Linked DNA regions of Caenorhabditis elegans. The protein of the gene in region 1 interacts with the protein of each later gene in a pairwise test. Each region holds a gene or a part of one and is shown on either strand. Other genes may lie near its edges. The genes, in order: F13D12.3 and wee-1.3.

Region 1 (4,493 bases):
TTTTCCCGAAAGTTTCGATATTTGTTCGCAATGTCAACTTATGAAAGAATGTGAATTGACCACATTCTAGGCCACATTCTACGTGGAGATGGCCTAGAATTCTTGTGCATAAATTTCAAGGTCACGCAAATCAAAAATATAGGTCTCGACACGACAAAAAAAATTGGTGATTGCAAAAAAGGTGTGCGCCATTAAATAGCACTGTCATTTCAAACTTTCGTTACTGCAGAAATTTTTTTACCGATTTTTCATATATTTTCGATTAAAAAAATTATTCATTAAAAACAATTTAATTGTTTTTAAAGGTGCACACATCTTTTCGCATTTGAAAATTGTCGTGGCGAGACCTGGTACCGTATTTGTGGCTCAAAATAAGTTCAAAACTGAGAAATTCAATCCAAATGCTCATTTTTATACTCTTTTTGTTCTCCAAGAGCCAGCTGAAACAGAAAGTAATCTGCAGACTTCAAAAATGGATTCCACTAATCCAAAATGGCTTCTGTTTTTTTTTTCACTTTTGCACGTTTCAACCGAAATATCTTGTCGTTTCCATAGAAACCAATTTCATTTGTTTTTTGAAGCATGAATTTTATTCGAAAAAGGTCAAAGTCGTGGTTGTTTGGAACAGAAAAAGTGCAGAAAACTGAAAAAATAACCGTATGAAAGTACTTGAGTCGGGTTTTGGAAGGGAATACACAAATTTGGAAAAAATTTAAACAGGCGGCATTGGAATATCTGGAATTGAAGCTTGAGGTGGGAGAGTTCCAGTTTCAGCAATCGCTGCCACATTGATGCCTGGAGGTCCACCACGAGCTTTTCGGACCTGAAAATTTATTTGAATTTTAGTGTTTTTTTTTTTTGCGGACTTCTAAGCCTACAGTAAACTTGTAACTACAGTAAGCCTACCTCATTCTCCTTTTCCGCTGCGTCCACCCTTGTCATCTCCTCATCAGTTGGTGGTGGAGCAACTCCTGGGGTAAGAGCTCCGGCTCCTGGCTCAACTCCTCCGAATAGTGGACCAGATGGTGTTGGTGGAGCAACAGGGCCTGGAGCTGGGATTGGTGGCTCTGGAACTGGCTCAGAAACTTCTGGAACTGGAGGCGGCACAATTGGCTGAGTGACAACTGGAGGTATCACAGCTGGCACCGCTGGACCTGGCTGAGCTGGATAGAACTGAGGTGGTCTTCCATATGAAGAGCTAGGCCGCGAATATGGGGAGTAGGTGGGTTCTGGGCGTCCATATGAGGATTTTGGTGGGGAGTAGCTTGGCTGTGGTGGCCCATAACTTGAAGGCCGCCCGTATGAGGATCCATATTGACTACCTCTGTTTCCATATTGATCCCAATTCTGGTTTTGTTGATTCCAATTGTTTTGATATGGATTATAATTATTATTCTGACCCCATTGGTCTCCTCCGTAACTTGGCCTAGAATATGAACTGCTGGACATGTAGGCTCCTCGGCGAGTTCTGAAAAAAAAGCGGATTTTTTTTTGGGATTTGAGATGAATATTTACATTAAATAATTTTATGGTAACCGATTTTTTTTTAATTTTTACTGTGCGGAATGTGGAATCTCGTTTGGCCACGCCTACTTAGTCGCACTTAAATGTGTACGAAATGAACATTAAAACTTTTCGCTGTAAGACCCAAAACAAAAAGGAAAGCCATTTCCGTAAAATGGTCAAATCTTTTTTTGTCTCGCAGCGCTGCGAAAATCCCAATTTTTTCGGTTTTTTTTAAATATTTCCGGATAATTTGTATTTATCATTCTATAAAATTTGAAATTTACAAAAAAAATCAATTTTCAAAATAAAAAGCTCGAAAACTTCATTCAAAACTGAATTCCCTACGCAATTTGCGCCGCGGAATTCGGAGTCTCGTTTGGCCCCGCCCACTTGGTTCTTTGAACTTTCAATTTAATTAAACTTTCTAGAGAAAAAATTCGCAAATTATAGGATTTTCATTATTAATATTTATGCTCCGAAACGTTGCCTTAAAAATTTATGCTATTTGAAGTTAGAACTAGAGATTTTTTTAAAAAATGTTTCCAAAAAAAATTTTTGAAATTTTTCTTGTCCTATATCTTAATAACCACAACTCCTAGCAAAAAGTTGTCAACTAACAAATCATAGAAAAATTTATGCAAATTATTTTCTCTGTTGACAATTTTTAGCCACAATCTATCACAAGAGAGATACAAGCTTTCAAACCCACCTTACGACAAATCCGTGTGCAATTGAAAATGACGCAATAAGAACGAAAATAGGGAGTGAGAACATGTTGAACGCAATCTTTATGGATCAATACCGTCGGGGAAAGAAAGTAACGAAGAAAAACACAAAATGATACGAAGACTTTGGTCACCTGTCTCTTTCTTAATGCCCTCCTTATAATCATTCGGCTGACGGGGGCGGGCATCGGGAAAATGAGTCAAAATTTGACGAACTTTTTGGCGAGAAAAAAGGTTTTTGGAGAATTGGAAAATAATAATAAAAAAGAGACAAAAGCATGAAGATGGCCTGTAACTGGTTGACCCTGGACAAGCAATGCGTCATACTTCGCAAGGGAACAGTTTTTCCAATCACATAGTGGTTGGCCTAGAAAATGCGAAAACTCAGCCAGCAATTTATTTTTGATTTCTCACGTCTTAAGAGGGGGTTCTTTAGTTCCGATTATCGGGAAAATGCTCCGAACTTATGGGTGACCGAGTTGTTGTTTTTTCAAGCCACGTTGAAGTAATTTTTAAGCATGAATAATTCCAGCTTTTCCAAAGAACTCAAATTTCAAAAATGACATCTAAAGGTACAAAATTGCATAAAACAACCGCATATTTCTTTAAAGTACCATGCCTTAACGCTCAACTTTGGAAGGTCATATCTCAATTTTCTTATATTTTATAAAAATTGTCAACTGACAAAATATTTATCATGTGATTTTCGATACTTTTGCTTTTTACACTTTTTCCATAACATAAAAGTTGATCGAGAGATAATCTATCAAAGTGAAGCGCCTACGCTGTCACAACAAAAAAGGGGGCGTGGCCAAACGAGACTCCATATTCCGCCAAGGAGCAATGTTTATAATTGTGCCATTTTACAGTTTTGCACAACCATAACATTGCCAATATTTTGAAAAACGGACTCCAAAGCATTAATTTCTAAATTCAAGTTCAAAGAACAAAGTGGCGTGGCCAAACGAGACTCCGAATTCCGCAGCACAGTTTGCTTTGAATTAAGTTTTAAATGAAGTTTTCGAGGTTTTTGACTTTAATATAAAGGTTTTTATAAATAAATAAAGAAATTTATCTGAAAAAATTCGCAATTTTTGCTACGAGATCCTCAAATGAACAGAGTTGTTCTATTTTCTTGAAAAAATCATTTTGGTTTTTTTTTACAACCAAAATTCAGCTCTAGTGTTCATTGTGCAAAAATAATAACTTCGGTTATTGAAACAATTTAGCCACGCTGAAAATTCCTTATGAAACCTGGAATAAAACATTTCTGTCTTCTCACAAAAAGGCAATTCAAAAACCCAATAACCTTTTCAAAATTTGATTAGAACCTGTTATTTTCGAATTCATTTTGACCTTTCAAAATACGCTACTGTAACTTTTGGCAAGGTTTTAGAGATTTTCAATTAATCGAAAATTCGAATTCTTCCCCGAGTCATCGATATTTCAGCCAATAGATAGAAGGTAACCACCAAACTTGTTTATACTTTTTTGTTCAACCGACCTGTTTCCCCATCTCAAATTACCACCCATTATCATCATCTGTCATGTTTTCTTGTTCCTCTTTTTTTTTCGAAATATCACAATTTCATAACTTGTTCGTCTTTTGACAATTTGAAACATCCGGTGGTTCTTGGACTTCAAGAACGGAAATTGCAAATTCAAAAGTTCTTATAAATTTAAAATACGTAGGTTTTTGAAAAAAAACACCTGCCTACCTACGTACCTGCCTACATAACTTTGCTAGCGTGTATCCCAGTTGTAAACCAATTTAGTCTAAATCTGACCTTCCTGTATTTAAGACACAACCTCAATGAGCACATTGCAATCTTCCCATCTGCTCACGGTAGAAGACGTGCAGCCATTACTGTGGTATTGGATCGATACGTCAGTTGGTCTTGCATTTGTTCTTTATTCTGTTTTTTCGTATATGTATTCAAATTCTGGAAATAATGGGAAATTGGTTTTCTTCCCCTCCTCCGACTTTTCCCATTCTTCGTCTTCCTCCAAATGTTGTAAGAAATGTGCTACGAATGATGCATCCAATTGTACTGTAAGTCATTAACTGAATTTATTTTAAATAAATTTGTTTTAAAGTTCTTAGTAAGACTGGCATGTCAAATAACAAATAAAAGTAGTGTACTGTGCGTTTACACGAAAGATAATCAAATGTCATATTAATAATTTCCTAGCTTTCAGGATTAGCATATCGTTCACATCGGAAAATGCAAGAAAGTTGGTAGAATCTCTCAATCTTATGGT
Region 2 (5,267 bases), 2.0 Mb from region 1:
TATCAAGACAGATCAGACGCCCAGAAGGCCAAACTGTGAGATTTTGAACTTGAAACAAATTGCAAAAAAAAAATTAAACAAATGCACAAAAAACGTTGCCCCGAACCAGGATCGAACTGGTGACCTCACGATCTTCAGTCGTGCGCTCTCCCAACTGAGCTATCGAGGCGGTGGTGTCTTTTTTTCAAAATGCATATAGAAGCACTTGTAATTTCTTTTTAAATTCTGAGGGTACGAGATTTTTTAATGACGGTTTTTATAGTCAAATTATTGCTGTTCTGTTGTAAGTAAAAGTTAAAACAATATATAAACTTTTGATAAAGGAAGTAGGTTTTACGATGTTTTCTATAGTTTTTTTTTTTGTTTTTTTGTGTAGTTTAAGAAGTAATTAATATTCCTATCGAAATAAATCAAAATGGCTATCAAAAGCTGTGGGAAATTTTTTTGTACTGTCCTACCTCCAGTACTACAAGAACAGGTTTTCTCTCAAGACCCTCTCGAGTTTATATTACACCAGACATATGTGTAATCGGTTGGTACCTACTTTATTCAATTCGAATAAATTTGGATTCTGTATGAAATGGAGAAATTAAAAAAATATACGTAGTTCAGATAAAATACGTTTTATCTTCAATTTCAGAAAAGAAGGACATAATGACAAGTTGTGTGTCTGTGTGATAATGGTAGTGCGATATGGTCGAGAGGGGGAAAGATTTTACAAAAAGACGTACAAAAATACCAGAAAATAAGCACCCAGAAGAAATAGTAAATAAAATTCGAGTAATGACACATTTGTGAAGAGATGGTCGTCAAGGGGGAAAAGAAATCAATCAATAACTAGTGAGAAGGACTACTGTAAACAGGCATAAAACCTAGGGGAAGTGATGATGGGATGAGAAAAAGTAAGAAAAGTACGAGATGCTAATAAATGCAAAAAATAAATATTCAACAATTTTTCTGATTTTTGTGCATTATTAAACCTCGTCGCCTGATGATCCAAATGACATCTGGAAAAAAAACATTTAATAAAAATCATTTAGCGTAAAACTACTAACCATTCTATTACGAGGCACAGGCTTAGCCCCTCTATTTAATCTTCTACGTGGCGATTCCGATTGCTCCAAAATCGTATGATGATCAACAGTCGGTTTATTCGATGGCTCGTCGAGAACGTTAAAGTTGAGAACAGGCATTCTCGGTAGATCACGAATGCTTCTTCGGATTCTTGGCGGACAAGACATTGGTGGTGGAGCCTCGTCGATCACATTATTCTGATCTGCCCAATCTAACTGTTGCTCGGTGAGTCGCATTCGGAGATATTTTTCCGTTCGTTCTTGATCACTAATTGGAATTAGAGAGTTATTACTAAATCCATCTCCAGATCCAGTGTGATGATTATAATGATTTAGCGACGATTTCGGTGCAACTGACGCGGCTACTTGACGATGACGGTTGAAAGTGAGATTACGACGAGCTGATCTTGGAGTTCCTCTGAAAAATAGCAGTTGGTAATAGAGAATCCAGAAACTTTTTGAATATTTAACAACAAAACCAACCGTTTTCCAAGTTTATCAATAACATCGTTCATTCTCGGCGGACTCTCCGGTTCATCCAATTGGGGCTCAATAGCTGAAGAGTTTGATGATGAGCAAGTCGCCTGTTCCTCATCGTCATCTTGATCGTTATCAAAGTTCAAGCGACACGGCACTGCACCAGTGAACAAACGGCGTTGCGCGTTTGGTGGATTCTCATCATCGGAAAAATCGAAAGGAGACACAATTTGAGATGCTTGGCGAACAGCCACTCCAGTAAGAGATTCCAAATAAACTTTAGAAGTCTCTGGAGTTTGGATGGGAGTGTGCTGCTGATTCTGAAAAATTCGAGTTGATAAAATTTTGGGTAAAAAAACTTATTACATTGACAAATTGCGCACAAATTTCCGATTGCCGGTCTTTAATTGCAGCATGGAAGCGAACAATAGGATGAAAGAGCACCGAGAAGAAAGCCATTACCCAGACAAGAACAGCACTGAAGGCGTAGAAAAAGCCGTTAAGCTGAAACCAGTGATTGTCAAAATCCCTCATTCACAAAACTATAACTTACAATTGAAATGCATTTTACATAGGTTCCACGCTTCATGAGCTTCTTCTTGATTACCGGATGATCAAGCAAATCTCGACTTGTTGGACGAATCCTCGGATCAGAGTCAAGCATCAAGGCAATTAAACTGCGAAGATCTGTAGAAATTCCAGCGAAGAATCTATCAGGAATCTGTCCATTTCTGATTTGATGCCACGAATCTCCATTTGATGGAACGTCAAGATCAGTAGTAGCCTCAAGAATTGTCATTCCTAGACTGAAAATGTCTGATGATTTCGTGGGACGGCCGTTCAAAACTTCTGGAGCAAGATATTTCGAGTCACCTTCTTCCGCTGATTTCACATCATTTGGCTGAAAATCGATTGAATAAAATCAGAATATTAAAAAGTATGAACTTACATTTTTAAGGTTAATAACCAAACCAAAATCTCCGAGTTTGCATATCATGTCCTTTGTAAGAAAAATGTTTTCCGGTTTAATATCATCATGAATCATGTCGTTCGAGTGCAAATGATGAACAGCTTGGAGCAAATCTACGAAAATATTCCAAATTTCGTCCTCCGGTAGTGCATGTTTCTCTGTACAATATTTCAAAAGACTTTGATCGCAAAGTTCTGTTTGAATATACAATCGACCAGTTTCCTCCCAGGCTCTGTAGAACTTGACAAGATTCTTATGCGGTGGAATGATCATATGGCTCTCAGCTTCTCGGTACTTGGAAATTGAATGTTGCCGGATCGGAGCTAACGATACTTTGACAGCATACAATTGGGAATCCTCACGGCATCTGGCTGCGAATACTTCTCCGAACGAGCCTCTTCCAATGATTTCATCGATTTGAAATACTTGTTCAAAGAATGATTGAGCATTTGTATGATCGTACTTTGGCGATTCCAGTGGTTTTGGTCCTGAAAAAATGCTTGAGATGTGTTGGGTTTATCAAAAATAATTAATGTTTAAAATAATCAACTCGACATACCCTGCGGAGTGACCAAAAGTGGGACCGACTCCTTCCGAACAGACCAAATGCTTCTTGTTGGTGGCATAGTTTTTATCATTTTCGGAGCTGGACGACGGAAACGTGGAGTAATTGCTTGGCGCTCACGTTTTGTGGAAAGTGGTGTCTCACGCATCATCATCGGGATTTGTGGTAAGCGTGGAGTGACCTGTGGAAGTGGACTTGATTGACCATTTCGAATGGAATCCATCGAGGAGTTACCCTCTGTGTCGTCCATTTTCACTGAAAATGAATAAATTAATCATACGCAGCGGAAAAAAGAAGGAAGGAAGGTCAAAGAAAATAAATAACATGTTTTATCAAAATTAATATCGACAGAAATTTTTTAAAATAGATTTTTGCGGTGCAGAGAAGATGCTAAATAGAGAGAAATCGATAATAACGTGTTTGGAACGTTTTCAACTAAAAAACCTTTTGATTTCTGAGAGTATATTGGAATTAACATTGAAATTACTATAATAAGATAATATTAGTATGAAGGAATGAATAATCAATTAGGCGGAGGCGACAAAACAGCGAGAAAACAAACAATTCTGCCAACGGCGATTGCAATTCAAAACAAGCGCGCGAAAGAGGAGAAGACACATTGTGCAAACACCGTGGCGCTCAAATGCAGACTAGACAGGGGAAAACAGCGGGATATTCAAAAAATAATTTTAAATATGGTGTTCAACCGGAATGACCAATTTTGCCGAAGAAAGGGTTCAATATTAAACTGTAGTGGGTCTTCTATGAGCGATATGAGACAATTTATCTGCTAGATATGTTTTGTAGTTTGTAGTCTAGCAGACCCAAAGAAAAATAGTGTTTTTTTAAAATTTCAATAATAATAATGTGAATTACATCACGTTAAACAAAATTTCAGTAGCTTGGATCTGTCGGACTATTTACATACTACAAACCGGTTTAGCAGATGAAAACTTTTAAGACTCTCCGATACGGCCTGTCAATTCAAGAGCAATCATCTACCTAAACACCGCAGAAAGTCAGATATACAGCATTGAAAGTAGAACAAAGGGAAATAAAACAGGAAAATTTTATAAAACAGGAAAATTTAAGAGTTAAAATTTATTTTACCAATAGAATTTTCATATTTAATAAAAAAGTGGGTGCAATAAGCAATCAAACCAGCGAATAGATTTTAAAAATTACACATATTTGCAATGGTTGGGGTTTAAAGAAATATTATAATACATGGTTTTAAATTAAAATGGGATATTTGACAAATGAATTTAAAAATTATTTTCTTGAATTTCTGATGTTGAACTAGAAATTGGTGGGCTCTCGCTTGACTGAAATTGGATTATTGCGGATTGTGCTGAATCGTTTTCTCATGGTACAAAAAAATCTGACCTCTTTGAACAACTTTTTGATCGATGAATCGTTCAGTGCGCGGATCAAAGCAGCATGGTCATTGAGGGCATCATTGAGCGTTGGTGTTGGATACGGGATGACTCCTCTGTCGTTCATTCTGAAAAATAGCAATGATTTTATAATTTAGATGAGAAAAATCAATTACTGTGAAGCCATTGCCACTGCTTTGGCCAAATCAAGAGGATCCAGCTTGTACCAGAAGAACTCTTGTTTGCGCTCCTTTATTTTCTTGCAATCGAAAACATCAATCCAGTTCTCGTCGTTGATTTTTTTCCAAAATTTTTGCGGAATCCTTTGGGGAAACGGTGAACGCGACGGCCGATCGACTTTCATTTGCGACGCTTTGAGCGATTGGATCCGAGAAGATAAACTCTTTTATCCTAAAATAAATGTTGTAATTATTTCATTTTTAAACCAAATATTCACCCCAAGAAACGAAGAATTCTCGTCGCTCGCTGCACCACATGTTTGTCCCTGATGTTCAGCATCATGAAGTGACTCGCCATCTGAAATTTAAGTTTGTAATTCCAATTTGGACACTTAAAGAATTGCCAAGTCTGGCCGCTTTGCCGGATTCGCATTATCGGCATTTTCGTGAGTGATTTGGCGTTTCCTTCCTCGATTCACAGCTGGGAAAGTTTGCGCTGATTGCAGATTTTCAGATTGTTGAATATTCCGAGGGAAGGACGCAAGTTCTTGGCGATCCAATTTTGTATCGAGTAGATTCTCAGATCGTGGAATATTTGGATTGGATTTCGACGCCTCACGTTCCGAT

The links.
Region 2: the proteins of F13D12.3 (region 1) and wee-1.3 interact in a two-hybrid assay, tested with the Caenorhabditis elegans proteins (one large-scale study listed by BioGRID).

What each region holds. Positions count from the first base shown.
Region 1 is NC_003280.10:11,718,379-11,722,871, reverse strand, and holds F13D12.3 (Prion-like-(Q/N-rich)-domain-bearing protein), read right to left. Parts: upstream 2,471-4,493; 5' UTR 2,281-2,470; coding exon 2,216-2,280; intron 1,469-2,215; coding exon 907-1,468; intron 824-906; coding exon 713-823; 3' UTR 537-712; downstream 1-536.
Region 2 is NC_003280.10:9,713,128-9,718,394, forward strand, and holds wee-1.3 (Membrane-associated tyrosine- and threonine-specific cdc2-inhibitory kinase wee-1.3), read right to left. Parts: upstream 3,341-5,267; 5' UTR 3,336-3,340; coding exon 3,080-3,335; intron 3,009-3,079; coding exon 2,500-3,008; intron 2,452-2,499; coding exon 2,104-2,451; intron 2,055-2,103; coding exon 1,917-2,054; intron 1,871-1,916; coding exon 1,557-1,870; intron 1,492-1,556; coding exon 1,056-1,491; intron 1,008-1,055; coding exon 975-1,007; 3' UTR 610-974; downstream 1-609. Other genes in the region: Y53C12A.6 (uncharacterized protein), read right to left, coding at 4,351-4,410, 4,472-4,589, 4,638-4,648; Y53C12A.11 (PRE_C2HC domain-containing protein), read right to left, coding at 4,737-4,872, 4,919-4,998, 5,045-5,267. UniProt on the Caenorhabditis elegans protein: Acts as a negative regulator of entry into mitosis (G2 to M transition) by phosphorylation of the CDK1 kinase during oocyte maturation.